Linked DNA regions of Macaca mulatta. The protein of the gene in region 1 purifies or fractionates together with the protein of each later gene. This does not show direct contact. Links are inferred from orthologs where the notes say so. Each region holds a gene or a part of one and is shown on either strand. Other genes may lie near its edges. The genes, in order: TSC22D4 and NRBP2.

Evidence for each region.
Region 2: the proteins of TSC22D4 (region 1) and NRBP2 purify together in Homo sapiens (affinity purification with mass spectrometry; 3 studies listed by BioGRID and IntAct, counting the BioPlex papers as one, with this or other methods). This does not show direct contact. The link is inferred for Macaca mulatta from reciprocal best matches to the Homo sapiens genes TSC22D4 and NRBP2.

The regions. Positions count from the first base shown.
Region 1 is NC_133408.1:47,674,200-47,684,204, forward strand, and holds the start of TSC22D4 (TSC22 domain family protein 4), read right to left. Parts: upstream 6,038-10,005; 5' UTR 5,617-6,037; intron 5,182-5,616; exon of another isoform or gene 5,079-5,181; 5' UTR 4,913-5,078; coding exon 4,151-4,912; intron 1,260-4,150; coding exon 1,093-1,259; intron 1-1,092.
Region 2 is NC_133413.1:154,208,424-154,218,595, reverse strand, and holds the start of NRBP2 (nuclear receptor-binding protein 2), read left to right. Parts: upstream 1-4,692; 5' UTR 4,693-4,946; coding exon 4,947-5,069; intron 5,070-5,555; coding exon 5,556-5,678; intron 5,679-5,754; coding exon 5,755-5,856; intron 5,857-5,959; coding exon 5,960-6,049; intron 6,050-6,231; coding exon 6,232-6,272; intron 6,273-6,372; coding exon 6,373-6,467; intron 6,468-6,584; coding exon 6,585-6,761; intron 6,762-6,841; coding exon 6,842-6,897; intron 6,898-7,004; coding exon 7,005-7,100; intron 7,101-8,129; coding exon 8,130-8,262; intron 8,263-8,362; coding exon 8,363-8,465; intron 8,466-8,558; coding exon 8,559-8,609; intron 8,610-8,683; coding exon 8,684-8,819; intron 8,820-9,663; coding exon 9,664-9,877; intron 9,878-9,969; coding exon 9,970-10,127; coding exon of another isoform or gene 10,128-10,172. UniProt on the Homo sapiens protein: May regulate apoptosis of neural progenitor cells during their differentiation.

The DNA.
Region 1 (10,005 bases):
CTGCCCCTTTGCCATTCCTAGCTCTGACTCTGTTCCTAGCTGGCCCATCTTAGGGACTCGCTTTCTCGGTTCTAGAAATCCTAGGATACTAAAGTAGACCCCGTGGGCTATCGGATGTCACAGTCCATACGTGCTGTTAGGGAGTCCCAGTCCTTTGTTAGGTGAGGAAGAGGGAGATGGAACTGAGACGAAACTGATTTCCATTCTTTTTCAGTTCTTTTTTTTTTTTTTTTTGAGGCGGAGTCTCGCTCTGTCACCCAGGCTGGAGTGCAGTTGTGCGGATCTCAGCTCACTGCACACTCTGCCTCCCAGGTTCAAGTGATTATCCTGCCTCAGCCTCCTGAGTAGCTGGGATTACAGGTACATACCACCACACCCGGCTAATTTTTGTATTTTTAGTACAGACAGGGTTTCACCGTGTTGGCAAGGCTGGTCTTGAACTCCTGACCTCAGATGATCTGCCCACTTCAGCCTCCTAAAGTGCTGGGATTACAGGCATGAGCCACCATGCCCAGCCTACTTCCTTTATATATATGTATGTGTGTGTGTGTGTGTGTGTGTGTATCTCTATATCTATCTATATATATGCTATTTTATTTCTTTTTTTTTTAGAGATGAGGTCTCGCTACATTGCCAGGGTTTGGTCTTGAACTCCTGGCCTCAAGCAATTCTCCTGCCCGGGCCTCCCAAAGCACCACGAGTACAGGTGGGAGCCACTGTGCCCCGGCCTGATTTGCTATTCTGTCTAGAGCACGCATTTGCCAGTGGGTTCCTGGGGTTGGCCAGATGATCTCTAAATCTGCAAGAGCTCTGGAATCTGACAACAATGAGTCCCTTCAGAATCTAAAAAAGTCTGTGACCTGACAGTTCTGAGCCAGGGAGTCCCACCCAGCCCTCTCCACAGAGAGGGAGTGGGTCCGAAATCATCTGTGTGCAGTGGTTATATGCCCAGGCCAGGTTTCTCTGTCTAAGAGTTCCTCTCCAAGTTCAACCTGAGGGAAGGATGCCTACCGGGCAGTTTCTCACAGCCATCCCAGGTGCTGGGCAGGGAACCTGAACCCCACGCCCCACCACCCCACGAAGCCCACCTACCTATCATCATCGCTGTCTAGGTGACCACTGATGGCCAACATGGAGTGGGCCAGGCTGAATTTCTGAGCTGCTACTGCTCCGAAGGGGTCTGGAGATTTGTGAACCAGGCTGGCATCGTGGGCGAAGTAGAGGGCCGGGGAGCTGGGGCGAGAGTCGAGTGGGGGCACCTGGAGGCGGAGAGGTAGGAACCATCACGTGAAAAGAGAAGAGAAAGGAATTAGCCGCCTTATAACTTGCCTATTAGCCTTCCTCCCTCTCCACCTCTCTACTCCCTTTGGAGGACCCGGGAGTCCTGTCCCCGCAGCCCTTCCCTTCTCCAGCTCTGGAGAAGGCATTAGGCAGGTACTAGAAGCAAGAAATGGGTAAACCTGAGGAATGGGAGGAGTGGTGTATGGGACATTACAGAGGGTCTCCCAAGTGGGAGGAGCGGGGGACTGATGGAAGAACCGAGAATAGACTCCAAAGTCCCTGCTCCCCCTGGGCCGGGACCCTAAACAGAGGCTACTCAGAGTGTCTGCCTTCTTTTATATTTTATTTTATTTTTTTGAGACAGTCACTCTGTCAGCTAGGGTGGAGTGCAGTAGCACAATCATGGCTCACTGCAGCCTCGAATTCCCAGGCTTAAGTGATCCTCCAGCCTCAGCCACCCGAGTAGCTGGACAGTTACGGCGCGCACCACCGTAACTGGCTAATTTTTTATTTTTTGTTAACACAGGGTCTCAGTATGTTGTCCCTGCTGGTCTCAAACTCCTGGGCTCAAGTGATCCTCCTGCCTCAGCCTCCCAAAGTGCTGGGAGAATAAGCCACCGCTCCCAGCCTGTGCCTTTGCTGGAGTCTCGCTCTGTCACCCATGCTGGAGTGCAGTGATGTGATCTTGGCTCACTGCAACCTCTGCCTTCCGGGTTACAGTGATTCTCCTGCCTCGGTCTCCTGAGTAGCCAGGACTACTGGCGCCCGCCATCACACCTGGCAAATTTTTCTATTTTCAGTAGAGACAACAGGGTTTCACCATGTTGGCCAGGCTGGTCTTGAACTCCTGACCTCAAGTGATCCTCCCACCTCAGCCTCCCAAAGTGCTGGGATTATAGGTGTGAGCCACTGCACCCAGGCTGCCTTCTTAAAATGACTCCAATGTCACCTCTTAGAGAGGTATTTCCCCATCATTCACTGGTCCACTGAACTGTTTCATTTTTTTTATAGCACCTAACATTATCTGAAATTAAAGTATTTATTGTGTCTCTCCCCGGCTAGAAGGTCAGTTTGCTCAGTAGCTATTTGTAGAATGAATGGATCCTCAGAAACTGCTCCTCCATCCCCTCACCCACCCCTCACTCTCGCCTCCCCTCTCAAACTTCTCGGACTCAGGTGGAATTCTGCTCCTGCGCTCAGCCCTGGGGTTGGCGGGGGCTGGTTGTGGAGCTGGGGGGAGGCGGAGCCTGGGCGTGGACCTGCATAGCCCAACAGGCGCTGGGGGCGGCAGCAAAAAGGGCGGGGGCGACAGGAACATGACAAGACGCCTCTGTGAGGCCCCGGGAGGCCCCAGCTTCTCAGAAAAGCCAAGAACAGAGAGTCCAGGGTGGTTAGAGGGACAGAGCAGAGGAAGGGGGCCCAGGTGGTGTCCCCTGGCCATTCTCCACCACTCCCTTCTGTTAAGAGGGAGAAGAGGCATGAGGGGATGTGGAAGGGAGACAGACTTTTGGGCAGGGAAATAGCAAAACAGTTACGTGCAAACAGCAGACCGTCAGGAGGTGGGGGAAAGCTGGGGAGCAGGGGGCACTGGAGAGAGACAGGCAGGGTCTGTGGCCCCAAGAGAAGCTCAGGCCAGGCTTAAGGACAGAGAGCAGGGAAGCTGGAGGCCAAGGGGGTTTGCTTTGGAAGAGTCTGGGGACAGGACAGGAAGAGAAACAGCATCTTCTCCCCTGGGGTGGGTGCTGAATGCAGGAGTTCAAGAAGAGTTGGGCGGGGAGGGGGTGGGGAGTGGTAGGAAGGGGCGTCACGAGAGACGTGAGCTTGAGGCCAGGAGGGGGTTGGGGGGAGCCAGTCCTGACCGGTCCTGACAGGACCCAGACATCCAGTCCCAGGTTATTTTTATACTGTGGTTTGTGCCCAAGGCCAGGAAGGGGAAAGAGTTCGCATCCTCACACCCCCTGCCTTTCCCCAGCCCTCCGAGGTGTTATATTCTCCCCGCAGGACAGAAGTATCCCACCCTTTTGTCTCTGGCTGCTCACCCCCACCACGGGGACCCAGGCATGCTGCCCCCCCAGCCCGGACTTGTTCCTCTTTTGGAGACAGGAAGGAGAAAGAGTATGGGACTGAACTCCTTCTGGGGCTTTTCTCCCCCACTCCATGGTGGTCACCCTGGAGTTATCAATCACAGAGAGGCTCAGATGGAGGGAGTTGAGACAGACAACTGGGGGGTGAAAAGGATCAACCAGCAAGCCCCCTCCCCATCCCTGAGAGGTGTTCCCCCCACCCAATTTCTCAGTGACACTTGGCCTACAGCAAAGCTGGAGGTAGGACTGAGATGGGTGGCTGGGGGAAAAGAAAGACCCCTACATTCAGGATGGGGCTGCAGTGCAGAGACTAGCAGCGCGCAAAGCCTACCTTTTACCTTTCCTCCCCAAATCCTGGCAGCTCCTCCCCCAGGGACCCAGCTACCCAGCTGAGGCCTCCACCCTCATCACCTAGAGGCAGAGGGGCTGAGACCAAGACAGAAGAAGGCCTGGTGAGGGGGCCACATATGCTATAGGCTACATGAAGACCAAGACAGAGAATCAGAGGCCAGGGAGAAAGAGAGAGGGTGCAGAAAAACAGGAAGGAGGCTGAGACAGAAAATGAAGGAGGAGGAAGGGGCTTCAGAGTGACCTGGCAGGCACAGAGAAGAGGGCTGTCTGATCTGATAGACAAGTAATGGAGGAGGAGGGGGAGGGGGAGGGGAGGGGAAGGGACGGGAAGGAGGAGGGGGAGAAGGAAGGGGAGGAGAAGGGGTGGGAGGAGGGAGTCCCAAGATAGAGGTTAGGCCAGGGCTGATGGGCGAGCCCTAGAACCCAGGTCTTACCTGCCCCATCTCCTCTGGAGCACCCAACTCCATCCGCAGCCGCATGTCTACAGCTTTCCTCCGGGACAGTGGAGGGGTCCTGGTCCCTGAGCCCCCAGCCTCCGCGTCCACCCTCAGAGAGGGCAGGGGCGTGGCAGCCCGGGATGTGCCCGCACTCTCACCGGTCCCAGGCTCTGGGGGGCGCTGCTGGGGTGGGGAGGCCGACAGTGGGGGTGTCTCTGCCTTGGCTTTGCCGGGCACCACCAGCTGGCCCAGTCCCCCAGTGAAGGAGCGGGCCTGAGGTCCGGGAGAGGTGGGGGGTGGACGGAGCCAGGAGGTGGGGCCCTGAGACAGGCCTGACTGTGGGGTGGGGGTGCCCAGGCCGAGGCTGGCCAGCTCCAACCTGGAATCCAAAGATCTGCCCCCGGCGCCCCCTGAGGCCCCTCGAATTCCCTCCAGGAGTCGGCCGAAGCTGTGGGGCTCCAGGTCTCGCTCATAAACATCCACACACGTCCAGCGACCACGGCGATATGGCTCTCCCAGGCCGTGGGGCAGCTTCACCACCCGGAAACGGGAGGAGGGGGCCCCAGGTGGTGGGGAGCCATTCCGGGGGGTGCCCTTGCCCCCCGGATCAGGGCTGGGCTCCCCACTGGGCAGGCGGGGCAGGGGCCCGGTGGGGGGCTGTGGAGTAGGCGGATCTGAAGTCCCTGGGCTCCCCGGGCCCTCATAGTCTGTGGTGACGCTGGTGATTTGGAAACTACTCTTCTTCTTGCCCCCGCTCATGGTCCCTGGGGCTCAGGGCTGGGCCAAGGTTGGGGGTGGGTTGGGACTCCTTGAAGGGGCTCAGGCACCCCTGGAACAAGGGGGCCACATGGTGGGGGCATCCGGGCCCCTGGGGACGTCTGGGTCCGACATGGCAGGAGGGCCTGGTGGGAACCCGGGGTGCCTGCTGGGTGAGGGGAGAAGAGGAGAGGGGAGGTGGCGGGAGGGGGGAGCACGGGCAGGTTTTTCCTGCTGCTGTTGCTGCTGAACTCCAGAGCTGAGTTTGCAAACTGGAAAAAGAGGGAGAGAGAGAGTGTGTGTGTGTGTCTGTGTGTGTGTGTGAAACCAGTGGGCAGGCCACCTCCGGGGCTTCCTCTCCGGGGAGCAGAGTGGGGGAAGGGGAAACCGTCAGAGACCCGGAGACAGGCAAGAGATGACAGAGACCAGGGCAGAGGGGACCAGATCCAAAAAGGCGCTCAGAGTAGGAAGAGGCAGATGAGTTCCAGAGTTGTGCATTTCTCATCTGAGATTCTGACTCAGGGGGCGGGTATTGTCCCAAGAGCTTGGACTCCAGGGCCTGGGAGAACCGGGGTGAAGCAGCTCCCCAGCCTGGCCCGGCCACTCAGAGAGACCTCTCCTGGGCCTCGAGCCCACCCCAGCTCCCACATCCCTGGGGCAGGCCCTGCCCGGCTACCCCCAGCGCCCCACCCAGCCCCGAATCCTACCTCTGGGGCCTCAGCCACTGATCTGAGCCTGAGGGTCCCGGCGCCTAAGAGGTCGGGCTGTGCGTTCCCTGGGGCCTTCTGGCCAGGGGGAGTGGCGGGGCACGCAGGCGGCGATCAGAGGTTGCCCCGTCCTCTCCGGGGGCCTCAGCTCATCCTGGGAGGCATCTCCGAGGAAAGTTTGCTCTCCGGAAAAGAAGGAACCCGCGGCTCCTCCGAGGAGCCCAGGAGCGGCCGCTGAAGCCCCAGGGGTCTGGAGACTGATGTGGGAGAGGGCGGCCGAGCCCCCCGCTGCTCCCGGTGGCAGCCAGCGAGTGGGTGTCTCGAGTCTCCTCCCGCGTGGCCCCGCTGGGTCCGTGTCTCCGCTCCTCCGCTCCCCTGGGTCTCTGCCTCTCCGTCTTTCTCCTTCTGAGCTGTTGACAACCCCCACACCAGGAAGTCCTGCCTCCTCGGGCCTGCTGACTGCTCCTCTCCTCCTCCTCCTCCTCCTCCTTCCCCTCCTCCTCCCCTTCCTCCTCCCTCCCTCCCTCCTGGGGCTTCCCGCCAGCTGGCCCGGGGCCAGGCCTGCCACAGCCGCTGCTGTTGCAGTTGCTGCAGCCACTGCTTAGGCTGCTGCTCCTGGGGGCCCCAAACAGACTCTCTTAACCCCACACCTGCCGGGCCCAGCCCCACTCTTGCAGGCAGGGGCTGCAGAGGGCGGGGCTCGGGGAGAAAGGGGAGGAGCTTGCAGGGAGGCGAGGGATTCCCTTACTTGTAGTCAGTTGCTGCCATTGGCCTAGAGACACACAGAAGAAACGGAAGGCACAGGCCGGGAGGTGTGCTGGATGCCCACCCAGAAGTGCCCAGTCCCTGCTGCGGGGCGGCTGTGGCTGTCATTCTCCTTTGGTTTTCACAGCAACTGCATGAGGAAGGTACTATTATTCCCCCCATTCCTTATTTTTAAAAGTGGATTATTGCCGGACCCCGGTGGTGGCTCATGCCTGTAATCCCCACACTTTGGGAGGTCAAGGAAGGAGGATTGCTTGAGACCAGTTTGGACAATATAATAGCAAGACCTCGTCTCTACAAAACAAACAAAAAAAATTGGCTGGGCATGGTGATGTGCACCTATAATTCCAGCTACTCAAAGGCTGAGGTGGGAGGATCCCTTGAGCCCAGGAGTTTGTGACCAGCCTGGGCAATATAGCGAGATCCCCATCTCTACAAAAAATTAAAAAATAGCACTTTGGGAGGCCGAGGCGGGCGGATCACGAGGTCAAGAGATTGAGACCATCCTGGCCAACATGGTGAAACCCCATCTCTACTAAAAATATAAAAATTAGCCAGGTGTGGTGGCATGCGCCTGTAGTCCCAGCTACTCAGGGGGCAGGAGAATCACTTGAACCCGGGAGGCGGAGGTTGCGGTGAGTAGAGATCGTGCCACTGCACTCCAGCCTGGCGATTAGAGCGAGACCGTCTTAAAAAAAAAAAAAAAAAAAAGCTGAGTGTGGTGATGTAGACCTGTAGTCCCAGCTACTCAGGAGGCTGTGAGGCAGGAGAATCTCTTGAGCCCAGGAGGTTGAGGATGCAGTGAGCCTACATTGTGCCACTGCACTCCAGCCTGGGCAACAGAATGAGACCATGTCTCACCAAAAAAAAAAAAAAAAAAAAAAAAAGTGGATTATTATGAAAATTTTCAAACGTGCCATGCAGACATGGGGAGACCATGCAAACTCCACACGGATGGTGGTCCCAACCCAAAATTAATTTTTAAAAAATCATCAACGTTATAATGAAATGACATTCAATGAAATGACATGTGGGAGCCAGCTGTATTTTGCTGGACTATTTGAAACCAAATCCTGGATGTTATACTATTTCCCTTTGCCCCAACCACTCCCCCACATTTTTTTTAGAGACAGGTGCTCTCTCTCTCTCGCTCTCTCTCTTCTATTGCCCAGGATGGAGTGCAGTGGTGTGATCATAGCTCACCACAGCCTGGAACTCCTAGGCTCAAGCCATGCTCCTGCCTCAGCCTCCCAAGTAGCTAGGACTTTAGATGCACGCCACCACACCCAGCTAATTTTTAAATTTTTGTAGAGATGGGAGCTCTCACCATGTTGCCCAGTATGGTCTCAAACTCCTGGCTTCAGTTGGTCCTCCCGCCTCAGCCTACCAAGTAGCTGGGACTACAGACACACACTACTACGCCTGGCTAAATTTCTTTAAAAAAAAATTTTTTTTGGTAGAGATGGGGGTCTTGCAATGTTGCCCAGGGTCGTCTTGAACTCCTGGCCTCAAGTGATCCTCCTGCTTCTGCCTCCCTAGTAGCTGGGACCACAGGTGTACTCCACCACACCTGGCTAATTTTTTAGTTTTCATAGAGACAGGGTCTTACTATGTTGCCCAGGCTGGCCTCAAATGATACTCCCACCTGGGCCTTCCAAAAAACTGACATTACAGGCGTGAGCCATGGTGCCTGGCCTCAGGGAAATTTCTAACCCCTCTTTAGGGTTAGGTAAAAATAAAACAATGGAATACCTACCCTCGTTATGTATTTGTTCTTTATCTCTTTGTTAGAAACATCCACACTCCTGTTTCTCTCCCTTAAGCCATAGTAACAATGACTGCCATAGCCCAGGTCTGTGAGCCTCCCAAGTAGTGATGTCTGGGAAGCAGCCTCCCACCTGCTCCCTACCCCTCCAGACTGCATCCCTCTGTCCCTCACAGAACCTCTTCTCCTCTAGCAACACTCAGAACATGGCCTTGGTCCCTCCGTCCCCAGGCCCTCCTTCCTTCTTGCTGACTTGCTACAAACTATCCAAAAATTATCTTTGGGGCCGGCCTGGTGGCTCAAGCCTGTAATCCCAGCACTTTGGGAGGCCGAGACGGGCGGATCACGAGGTCAGGAGATCAAGACCATCCTGGCTAACACGGTGAAACCCCGTCTCTACTAAAAAAATACAAAAAACTAGCCGGGCGAGGTGGCGGGCGCCTGCAGTCCCAGCTACTCGGGAGGCTGAGGCAGGAGAATGGCGTGAACCCGGGAGGCGGAGCTTGCAGTGAGCTGAGATCCAGCCACTGCACTCCATCCTGGGCGACAGAGCGAGACTCCGTCTCAAAAAAAAAAAAAAAAAAAATTATCTTTGGGCAATCCCTTTCTCTGCCTCAGGCACTGGTATCTGAGTCTAGAGGCCCTGGCACATTGCTGACCTCTGCAGAAATGTTTGTTGAGTGAATACATACAAATTTTTATGTCTTAATTTAATTTAATTTAATTTGAGATGAAGTCTCGCTCTGTCACCCAAGCTGGAGTGCAGTGCCATGATCTCATCTCACTGCAACCTCCGCCTCCCAGGTTGCAATCCTCCTGCCTCAGCCTCCCGAGTAGCTAAGATTGTAGGCACCCGCCACCACGCCCAGCTAATTTTTGTATTTTTAGTAGAGATGGGGGGGTCTCATCATGTTGGCCAGGCTGGTCTCGAACTCCTGACCTCAAGTGATCTGCACGCCTCAGCCTCCCGAAGTGCTGGCATTACAGTCGTGAGCCACCGCTCCCGACCTATACGTATAAACTAATCATACTAAAGGTATAAATGTGAAATGGGTTTTAAGTGTTTTAGTATCTCCCTCCCCTGGGAGCATTCTTAATAGCCTTTAATATGTAGGACCCTTTACAATTTACAAGGCACTTTGGTATTATTTTACTACCCCTCCTCTGCCAACAAAGAATGGACTAAAGCCAGCTTGTCCAACTGCACCGGCAGCTTGTGGCCCAGGACAAATTTGTAAACTTTCTTAAAACATTAGGAGTTTGGGTTTTTTGTTTTTTTGTTTTTTTCTGAGGCAAGAGTCTCACTCTGTCCCCTAGACTGGAGTGCAGTGGTCTGATCTCAGCTCGCTGCAACCTTCACCTCCCAGGTCAAGCGATTCTCCTGCCTTGGCCTCCCGAGTAGCTAGGATTACAGGCGCACGCCACCATGCCAAGCTTATGTTTTCTATTTTTAGTAGACACAGGGTTTTGCCACGTTGGCCAGGCTGGTCTCAAACTTCTGATGTCAGGTGATCCACCAGCCTCGGCCTCACAAAGTGCTGGGATTACAGGCGTGAGCCACCGCGCCCAGCCAGTGTTAAGAGTATTTTATGTGTGGCCCAAGACAAATTATTCTTCCAATGTGGTCCAGAGAAGTCAAAAGAGTGTACATCCCTGGACTAAAGCATCTCTCAGAGAGGTTGCACGATCTGCCTAAAGCCACACAGCAAGTCTGCAAAGACGCTGCCATGGGAAGTAGCATTCGCAGGCCAGGGATTAGGCCATGCCTATCTTTGCCATGCCCATTTTCCAGCCCGTGGAAGGTACAACTGAGGTCTTCTCGAGCTGATTTACCCCCGCTACAGAGCTGTGCGCCCAAG
Region 2 (10,172 bases), on another chromosome or scaffold:
ACACATGTGCGCACATACCAGCTTCCAAGCTGGTTGTTGGCCACCACAGGCCTTCGTGGCTGCTCTCTGGAGACGGCTGTTTCTGGCCGTGTGTACACTTCACAGCCTTGCTCGGAGTGAGCTGGGAAGCCAGCAAGCCACTGTCTCCACCGCCCAATCTGGGAGGCACCAGCCCAGTGCCTCTGCACCTCTGCTGTGTTCTCGCCCCGGAAGCAAGTCACCCAGTCCAGTCCACACTCCTGGCATGGGACTGCACATGATGTGGGAGACCAGGAGGCAGGGTGACCAGGACAGACAGTGGGAGGGCTCCTCTGGTGCTCCTCTGACCCCCCAGAGTTGGGACCCCCTGGCTTTCTCCCACCCTAGGATTCCTGGCATCCAGGACAGCAGTCCTGAGCCCCGCAAGCCAAGGGATCGTCCACCTGCCGATGGGAAAGAAATCTGCAGGAATTCTGAGAACAGCTCACCTGCATGCCTCACAGGAGGGAGACGCTTAGGAAGACTCTAAGGCGACAGACATGGAGCCCCAGTAGATGTGCAAGGCGGAAGTGGAGGAGGCAGTGAGCAGCGAACCTGCAGTTGGCACCACAAGGCATTGCACAGGGGCCAGGCGCAGCGGCTCACACCTGCACTCCCAGCTGCTCAGGAGGCTGAGGCAGGAGGATCCCTGGAGCCCAGAAGTTCAAGACGAGCCTGGGCAATATAGCAAGACTGGCTCTATAAAAAGTTAAAAAAAAAATAGCTGGGCTCTGTGGCATGTGCCTATAGTCCCAGTTATTCAGGAGGCTGAGGTGGGAGGATCCCTTGAGCCCAGGAATTTGAGGCTGCAGTGAGCTGTGATTGCACCACTGCACTCCAGGGTAACAGAGTGAGAATCCATCTCTAAAAAAATAAATTTTAAGAAGCCAATTCACAGATTAGGCTAAGAGGGCGGGTGAATGGCTCAGTGGCCAAGAGCAGCCCTAGAGAACTTCCGATAAATCCAAATGGCCTGGCAGGATCAAGGGGTGGAGAAGCTCATAGGCAGAGCAGAAGGGAGGGTGGGCACCCACCCTGGGGCATAGCCAGATTGAGGCCAGGGAGGGCATGCTGCAGCAGCCACTGCCTCTGTGCGTGGGCGGGCAGCAGTCCGACCCACTCTGTGGAGTCGGAATAAGTGCTGGGAAGCATCCCTGCACGCGAACACGTAGCGGTTGTCACGTCACTTTTCTTACCATGCGGGTTGTGCCCGGTGCATGTGCTATTCCCCTCGGGCTGCCAGAGCAGCACCAGAGATGCAGGAGTGGCTTAAAACAGCACAAACAGATTCGCTCACTGTGCTGGAGGCTGGAAGTGCAAAATTGAGGTATCAGCAAGGCTGATTGCTTCTGGGGCTGGGGTGGGAGAATCCATCCCAGGTCTCTCTCCTCACCACTCATGGCCCTGGCAGTCCCAGGCACGCCTTGGCCTGTGGGCACATCCCTCCAATAGTGGCCTCCATGTTCACTTGACGGTCTACCTTATTTCTCTGCACCCCAAGTATCCTTCTTTCTCTGATAAGGACATTTAGGGCCCACTCCAACATCTCAAGATCCTAAACTTATTTACATTTGCAAAAATCTTTTTTATTCTTTTTTTTTTTTTTTTTTTTTTTTTTTTGAGAAGGAGTCTCACTTTGTCTCCCAGGCTGGAGTGCAGTGGCGCGATCTCGGCTCACTGCAAGCTCCGCCTCCCAGGTTCATGCCATTCTCCTGCCTCAGCCTCCCAGTAGCTGGGACTACAGGCGCCCACCACCATGCCCAGCTAATTTTTTGTATTTTTAGTAGAGACGGGGTTTCACCATGTTAGCCAGGATGGTCTCGATCTCCTGACCTCGTGATCCGCCCGCCTCGGTCTCCCAAAGTGCTGGGATTATAGGCGTGAGCCATTTTTTTTTTTTCAAATAAGGCTGTGCTCCTAGGTACTGGGGATCAGGATGTAGACTTTTGGGGGATTCTATATGACCTACCACAGAACATGTGTGTCTGGTTATGGGGGTGGAGAAAGGGGAGGAAATTCATTGAGATTCTTCTGCTCAAGCCTTACCTCTTCAGGGGCTTCTCTGGACCACACCCCCCAAAACGCACCCCTGCCCACCCAGAGATCCATTCAACAAGTGTTTGCTGAGGGCCTGCTGCGTGCCAGGTACTGTCCTCACACCAGAGAAAGAGCAGGGACAAAGAGAAGACACTCCTGCCCTGTGGGAGCTCGAATAGCAACAGGGACACAGACAGTGAAGAAGAGAGATGAGAAAAACCCAGATGCAAGTCAGGTGGGGTGAATGCCCCAGGAAAAGTCAAGTCAAGCAGGGGAAAGGGGATGGGGACTGTGATGTCAGGATTCGTGGCCAGGGCAGGCCTCTCAGGAAGTGACCTCAGAGGATGTTTGGGAAGGGCATTCCGGGCAAAGGTATAACCAGGGCAGAGACCCTGAGGGGAAGTGCCTGTCATGTCCAACGGCACAGGGCCATGTACTTGTGGTGGGCTCGGCTGAAGAGGGCAGGGGACATGAGGTAGGGTAATGGGACCAATTACTGGGCCTTCCTGTTTAGGCCCTCGTGCCAAGTGAGAAGGGACCACTGGGGGCTCCCCAAAACCACCCTCAGGTTCAATGGTTCACTGTAAGGACTCACAGAACTCAGAAAGGGTACCATTTATTACAGCAATGGATGCGTTAAAATCAGCAGTGGCAAGGACTCACGGAACAGAACCCAAGAGAGACCAGCACAGGTCTGCAGGTGTCCGCACCCACTGCAGGCATGCGGACAGTGCTCAATCTCCCAGCACGGATGAGCACAGCATGCCACCAGCCAGGGAAGCCCTCTGTACCGCGGTGTCCAGGGTTTTTATTGGGTTGGTCACACAGGTATGGCTGACCTCCCAAGTCGCAGACTTTGGCCTCCAGCCCCTGCAGAGGTCAGGCTGATGCCACATGGCCCAAAGTCCCCCCGTAGACCACGTTGTTAGCACAGACTAGGGGTGTCCAATCTTTGGACCTTCCTGGCACACATTGGAAGAATTGTCCTGGGCAACACACTTAAATAAAATACACTTAACACTAACAACAGCTGATGAGCTTTAAAAAAAAATCTCAACAAGAAAGTTTACAAATTTGTGTTGGGGCCGGGCGCGGTGGCTCAAGCCTGTAATCCCAGCACTTTGGGAGGCCGAGACGGGTGGATCACGAGGTCAGGAGATCGAGACCATCCTGGCTAACACGGTGAAACCCCATCTCTACTAAAAATATACAAAAAACTAGCCGGGCGAGGTGGCGGGCGCCTGTAGTCCCAGCTACTCAGGAGGCTGAGGCAGGAGAATGGCGTAAACCCGGGAGGTGGAGCTTGCAGTGAGCTGAGATCCGGCCACTGCACCCCAGCCTGGGCGACAGAGCAAGACTCCGTCTCAAAAAAAAAAAAAAAAAAAATTGTGTTGGGCCGAATGCACCCTCTGGGCTGCGGATTGGACAAGCTTAGCATAGACTATGGTGTGGCCTAGGTAAACACAGACATTCAAATCAGGCGGAACATTCCAAAGGCTTAGAGGGTGTCTCTCAGGAGCTGGTCAGGGCCAGTTTCAGGGTGGAGAATTTGAACACCCCAAACCTTTACTGCAGAAGGCCTCAGCAGGATCATCTGGCCTTGGTGGAAGCCACACTCAGGGGACCTGGTGACCAAGGCTGGTCAGGAAAGAGCGACCACAGGGGACGCAGCAGGGCCAGATGCAAATCTGCCAAAGAAAGAAAGAGGCGTCCCAAAGGGACAGCACACGGAGGCGCGCGGAAGGGAGGAGCGGAGTTCCAATTTGGGCTCCAGAGAGAGAAGGTAAAGGATGAGGACCCGCCCTGAGAGAGGGAGAAGGCCACGGGAAGGCTGTGGCAGCTGCGGGCTGAAGGGGGTTTTAGGTGAGAATCGGGGACAGCCCCGGTGGTCAGCGTGGCTGGAGGGTGTGCTCAGAGCGGCCTCCGGAGGGAGCGGCCTTGTGAGCCAGGTGGGCTCCCCCATCATGGTTCCACTGTCCCGAGCCAACCGCGGAAAGGAGGGGCGCGTTTGAGGAGAAAAGAGAAAATCGCCATCCTGGAAGGTGAGAAGATGGGTTTGTGGGCGGGAGGAGGCACCGGCGGGCGGGCCACGGAGAGATTTGTGGCCCCCAATGAAAGTCAGCCTGGGTCAGCCTGCTGGTGGGCCTTTCCCCCCGCCCTCGGTGTCCCACCCACCTGTCCCAAGGGGGTCGGCCGGGGAATGAGTGCGTGGCCGGGAGAGCGGGGCCCCGCTTTCGAGCCCGCGGGGACTCCTGCAGCTGGAGGGTGTCGTGGGCTTGGGGGACCCCAGATGCCCCGGGTCTTCCCCCAGATCCTAGGAGAGCAACCGCGAGAGAAGTGGGCTGCTCCAGGCTCCGGGTGGCCGCGGGGCGGGGCCTCCACGGGGGCGGGGATTTGGGGGCGGTTCCCCTGCGCGGGGCGGGACTTCGAGGAGGCGAGGCGGGGCCTGGGGCGGGGCCTCGCGAAGGACCTTGGGAATGGGCGGGGGCGGGGACCAAAACGGGGCGGGGCTTCGCGGAGGTGGGGCGGGGCTTCGCGGAGGAGGCTTGGGGGACGAGGAGGGGACAGGGCCTGGGGCGGGGCTTCGCGGGGCGGGGCCTCCGAAGGGGCGGGGCCTGGGCGCGGCCGGGGTTCGGCAGCTGGCTGGGAAGCGGTGCTCTGGCTCGGGCTGGCACACGCGGCTCGGGAGCGGCGCGCCGGCTCCGCCTCCGGCCCCCATCTGCCCGCCGCGCGCCCGCCCCTCCCAATTCCCAGAGCCGGGGCTGGGGCTTGCGGCGGCGGCGGCGGCGGCGGATCTAGGCTGGGCTGCTGGGCGCGGGGCCAGGGCGGGCCGGGAGAGGCTGCTCCGGCGGTGGATCGCGCGGAGGGCGGTGGCCTGGGCCGGCCGAACCATGGCGGCCCCTGAACCGGCGCCGAGGCTGGCCCGGGAGCGGGAGCGGGAGGACGAGAGCGAGGACGAGAGCGACATCCTGGAGGAGAGCCCGTGTGGTCGCTGGCAAAAGCGGCGGGAGGAGGTGGGCGCGGGGGTCGCGGGCACTGGGGTGACACCGCCCTCCCAGAGCCGGAGGGGCCTGGAGGCTGCGCGGGGCGTGGGGGCGCTGGGAGAGCGCGGCGCGCGGCGCCTGGAAACCTCTCCACGGTCCCTCGCGGCCAGCGAATCAGCCACCCCTGGACCCCTTTGGCCTGGCGCCCGTCCTGGGATTCCCTGAGGGCCAGTCTCCTCCTAGGACCACCTCCCCATGCCTCTGGACTCAGCCGCTAGGTTCCTGGGGATCCCCCTCGACCCCTTGAAACCTGCTCCAAATCCCCTTAGCCCAGCCCTTGGATAGGAGCCCTTGGCTCCTAGGGGCAGCTACCCTCCAAGCCCCCACCTTCCCGCAGAGTGGCTCAGGTCCTACAGTCCACGCTTGGGCCCACTGGAAAGGTATAGACAGGGACCAAATCCTCACCCGCAACCTGACACACACCAGGGCACACATAACCCCTTATTCACTCCCCAGGTAAACCAGGGGAACATGCCAGGGCTTCAAAGCACCTTCCTAGCCATGGACACGGAGGAGGGGGTAGAGGTGGTGTGGAACGAGCTCCACTTCAGAGACAGAAAGGCCTTCGCGGCGCACGAGGTGAGGCCACTGCCCCCTCCTCATCCTGCCTGGGTGACCACCTGCTGACCACCTAGAGACCACCCTCCCTCCCCAGGAGAAGATCCAGACTGTGTTTGAGCAGCTGGTGCTGGTGGACCACCCCAACATCGTGAAGTTGCACAAGTATTGGCTGGATACCTCCGAGGCCTGCGCGAGGGTGATTATGGGCGAGGCCCCGGGCAGGCAGAGGCCACAGCCAGGTGGGGTGGGCATGGGGACGAACGCGCAGCTGGTGGAAATCCTGAGCTCGCACCCTGCAGGTCATCTTCATCACAGAGTACGTGTCATCAGGCAGCCTCAAGCAATTCCTCAAAAAAACCAAGAAGAACCACAAGGCCATGAACGCCCGGGTATGGGGAGCGGGCTGGGGCAGCCACGGGGACAGGACGGGGTTGGGGCAGCCTCGGGGACTGGGATGGTGAGGGGGTGCCCAGTGGCCTCGGACAGGGACTGGGCGAGGATGCGGGGCGGGCTCCGCAGGCCCAGCCGCCTCTCCTGCGCCCACCCGACGGAGTCGTGCGTCCGCCGCCAGGCCTGGAAGCGCTGGTGCACGCAGATCCTGTCCGCGCTCAGGTGAGGGCCTGGGCTGGCCCGGGCGCTGCGCTGCTGAGCCCCCGCCTCCTCAGAGCCTCCTGACCGGCTCCTCCTACTCTCCCCTCCCCAACGTCTGCAGCTTCCTGCACGCCTGCAGCCCCCCGATCATTCACGGGAACCTGACCAGCGACACCATCTTCATTCAGCACAATGGCCTCATCAAGATCGGCTCTGGTGCTGGCGGGACAGGGCTGGGCGGGGGACGGGGCAGGGGAAGGTGCCTGCAGCCAAGGGCAGAGGAGTTCTGATGCTCCAGCAGCTAACTCCGCTCTTTCTCCCGCCCCTTGGCAGTGTGGCACCGAATCTTCTCCAATGGTAAGTGCGGACTCTGGGGGATGGGGTCCTGGAGAGGTCCCGCCCGCTCAGCCTTTGCGCCCTCCACAGCGCTGCCGCATGATCTCCGAAGCCCCATCCGCGCTGAGCGAGAGGAACTTCGGAACCTGCACTTCTTCCCCCCAGAGTACGGCGGTGAGTGGCGCTGGGTCTTGGCGCCCCGTGCCTGCCCTGTGTGCTTCTCTCCTACCCGTCCTGTGTTCTCTCCTGTTCAGAGGTGGCCGATGGGACCGCTGTGGACATCTTCTCCTTTGGGATGTGTGCGCTGGAGGTACTGCCCCCGCCCTCCACCTTGTGCTCTGCCCTCCTCCTAGCTGTGCCCTGCCTGGCTCACCTGTGTGGTCCCTTCCCCATGCCTGACCTGGCTCTGTGCCCCAGATGGCTGTGCTGGAGATCCAGGCCAACGGGGACACCCGGGTCACAGAGGAGGCCATTGCTCGTGCCAGGCACTCACTGAGTGACCCCAACATGCGGGTAAGCAGCTTGCCCTGCCCCTCCCCAGCTGGCTCACTGTGCTCAGCTAGGCCAGCAAGGTGCTCCAGGCAGGCCTGGGAGAGCATCACAGTTTATGTAGCTGAGAGGTATATCAGCTGGCTGCACCCCCGCAAAGAGGACCTCAGTGGGAGCACATACTGGTTCCAGGCCTGAAGGCCCTAATGGGTCAGCACATTCTAAGGACAAGAAGGCAAGAGAGACCCTCCCTCTGTGGCTGCTATCACCATGCCCGTTTTATAGATAAAGAAACTGAGGCTCAGAGGAGATGAGTCCTTTGCCTGAGGCTTTAGAGTAAGTGGTGGAGCCAACATCTGCACCTGGGTCTGCTTCACTCCAAGTCCTTGACTTTAAGCTTCTAGGAGGTGATGAGGCTCCAGCTTGTGGGGGGACATGGTGGGTGCCAAGCAGGCAAAAAGAGGTATGGGATGGAAGCTGCATCCATAGCCCCCTCTGCTCGGAATCCAGACTTAACTCCATGGCCTCAGGAGATGGGGGTGCCTGGATGGGGCTGGTAGGGAGGTGGAGCCGGGCTGGGCACGGATGTGGATAGAGTGGGGAACCAGCAAGGTCATCTCCAGTGCTGGGCCTGAGCTGAGCCGATCAAATGACCATGGGTAGCTAGAGGCAGAGCTTGCAGTGAGCCGAGATCGTGCCACTGCACTCCAGCCTGGGCGACAGAGTGAGATTCCGTCTCAAAAAAAAAAAAAAAAAAAAGGACCACAGCTTGCAGGTGTGACTTAAAGATCATGGCTCCTACTCCCCATGATTTTTGGGAGGTTGAGGGAAGCAGAGCATGGTGCTCCAATCCCAGAACCCAGCTGTCCTCAAGCCCAGAGGGCCAGGTCCTGGCCTGGCTGCTGCCAGGACTCCTCCCTACGGGCATCCCTGCATGTCCTGTATGTCCCTGAGGAGGAGGGACGAGGAGAACTCAGGGACCACCTCTCCTCGAACTGTGGGGCCAGAGCAGAGAGCTCTGCACACCACCAGCCTCTCCTCCCCATGCCCCAGGAGTTCATCCTTTGCTGCCTGGCCCGGGACCCTGCCCGCCGGCCCTCTGCCCACAGCCTCCTCTTCCACCGCGTGCTCTTCGAGGTGCACTCGCTGAAGCTCCTAGCAGCCCACTGCTTTATCCAGCACCAGTGTGAGCAGCAGGCCAGCCCAGGGGGTGACCGGGGAGGCTGCGGCTGGGATGTGGAAGGGGCCCTGCAGGACCCACGGCCTTGATGCTCCTGTGGCTGCAGACCTCATGCCTGAGAACGTAGTGGAGGAGAAGACCAAGGCGGTGGACCTGCACGCAGTCTTGGCGGAGCTTCCCCGGCCCCGCAGGCCCCCGCTGCAGTGGCGGTGAGCAGTCAGCACCCAGAAACCTCCCCTCCCCGTGCCTCCCCTCCCTACGCCCCTGACCAGCCCCTCATGTGCCTCCCACCCCCATGCCAGGTACTCGGAAGTCTCCTTCATGGAGCTGGACAAATTCCTGGAGGATGTCAGGTAAGAACTGATGTAAGGTTGGGGGCCAGGCAGCTGTCAGGCCTGAGCCCCCAGCCACCCCGGTGTGTCTCCAGGAATGGGATCTACCCACTGATGAACTTTGCAGCCACTCGGCCCCTGGGGCTGCCCCGGGTGCTAGCCCCACCCCTGGAGGAGGTCCAAAAGGCCAAGACCCCGACGCCAGAGCCCTTTGACTCTGAGACTAGGAAGGTGAGTCCCCTCTTGCTGCTCAGTGCCATCCCTCAGACCTTCCAGCAGCCTGATAAGAGATTCCTTCTCCCAGGGCCTGCTCCCCACAGCCCAGCTCTCCTCCTGGCTGCCAGAGACCAGATCCAGGCTGACCCCCTTGTGGGGATTATGGGGGTTGTAGGACAGGCTGGACACTCTCCTTTTCCGGGAGGCTCCCTGTCCCCTCAGATCCTCCCCTGCATCCTGCTGCCTGCCCTGAACCTACTCCAAGCATCCTTCCTCCAGAACTCGCCCAGGCTCTTCCACCCCGCCAGTACTCTTCCCCCCACCCCCCACCCTCCCATCCCCCACCCTCCCATCCCCCACCTCGTGCTGATTCCCGGATATCTATGTCCTGGTGTCTCCCCAGACTTTTCCTGCAGCGCTGCCTCCTGGCCAGTGGCCTCTCTTGGTGCAGTGCAGCCAGAATTTATGTCCTAACAGGCAAACTGCCTGCTCCTGGCTGCCCGCAGAGATCATGGGAGTCCTCAGCTGATGCCCAGGCGCTGGGAGGCCTGGTCCTGCAGGCACCCTGCACTTCGGTGCAGTCGCATCCCACTCAACCTCCCTTTCCCCGTGCTCAAGATCCCTCTTTGTTTAAGTTGTTCTCTCAGCAGTGAAAGCTCCTATTCAGCCTTCAGTACCCAGCACCTAATGTCGACTCTTCTCGAAGCTTTCCTTAGCTCACTAGGCCACTAGCAGTGAGATGGGCTCCTCTTAGAGATTCCCCCCTTTCCAATCTCTGCTGTCCCTTCCTGGCCCCTCTGGGGCCGCGGCATGTGGTCTCGCTGCTGGGTCTGTGAGTCTCAGCCTTCCGCCGCTGCAGGTCATCCAGATGCAGTGCAACCTGGAGAGAAGCGAGGACAAGGCGCGCTGGCATGTGAGCGGGGCCTGGGAGGGCAGCGCTGCTGTGGGGAAGGCGGGAGCGTGGCAGACCCCCAAACCTCCAGCCGACCACGCCCCGCCGCCTCCCCAGCTCACTTTGCTTCTGGTGCTGGAGGACCGGCTGCACCGGCAGCTGACCTACGACCTGCTCCCAAGTAGGCTGGGCAAGGGACCTGGGCGGTGGGCGGTGACCCCGGGCAGCGGGTGGCGCAGCGGCCTCATGCCTCGCCTTACACCGTTGCCGCAGCGGACAGCCCTCAGGACCTCGCCTCGGAGCTTGTGCACTACGGCTTCCTCCATGAGGTGCGCTGGGCGTTGCAGCGTGGCCTGGCGGAGGGGGCAAGCGGGGCAGGCTGTGCCCCTCCGTCCCCCATGCCTTCCTCCTTCCGCAGGACGACCGGATGAAGCTGGCCGCCTTCCTGGAGAGCACCTTCCTGAAGTACCGTGGGG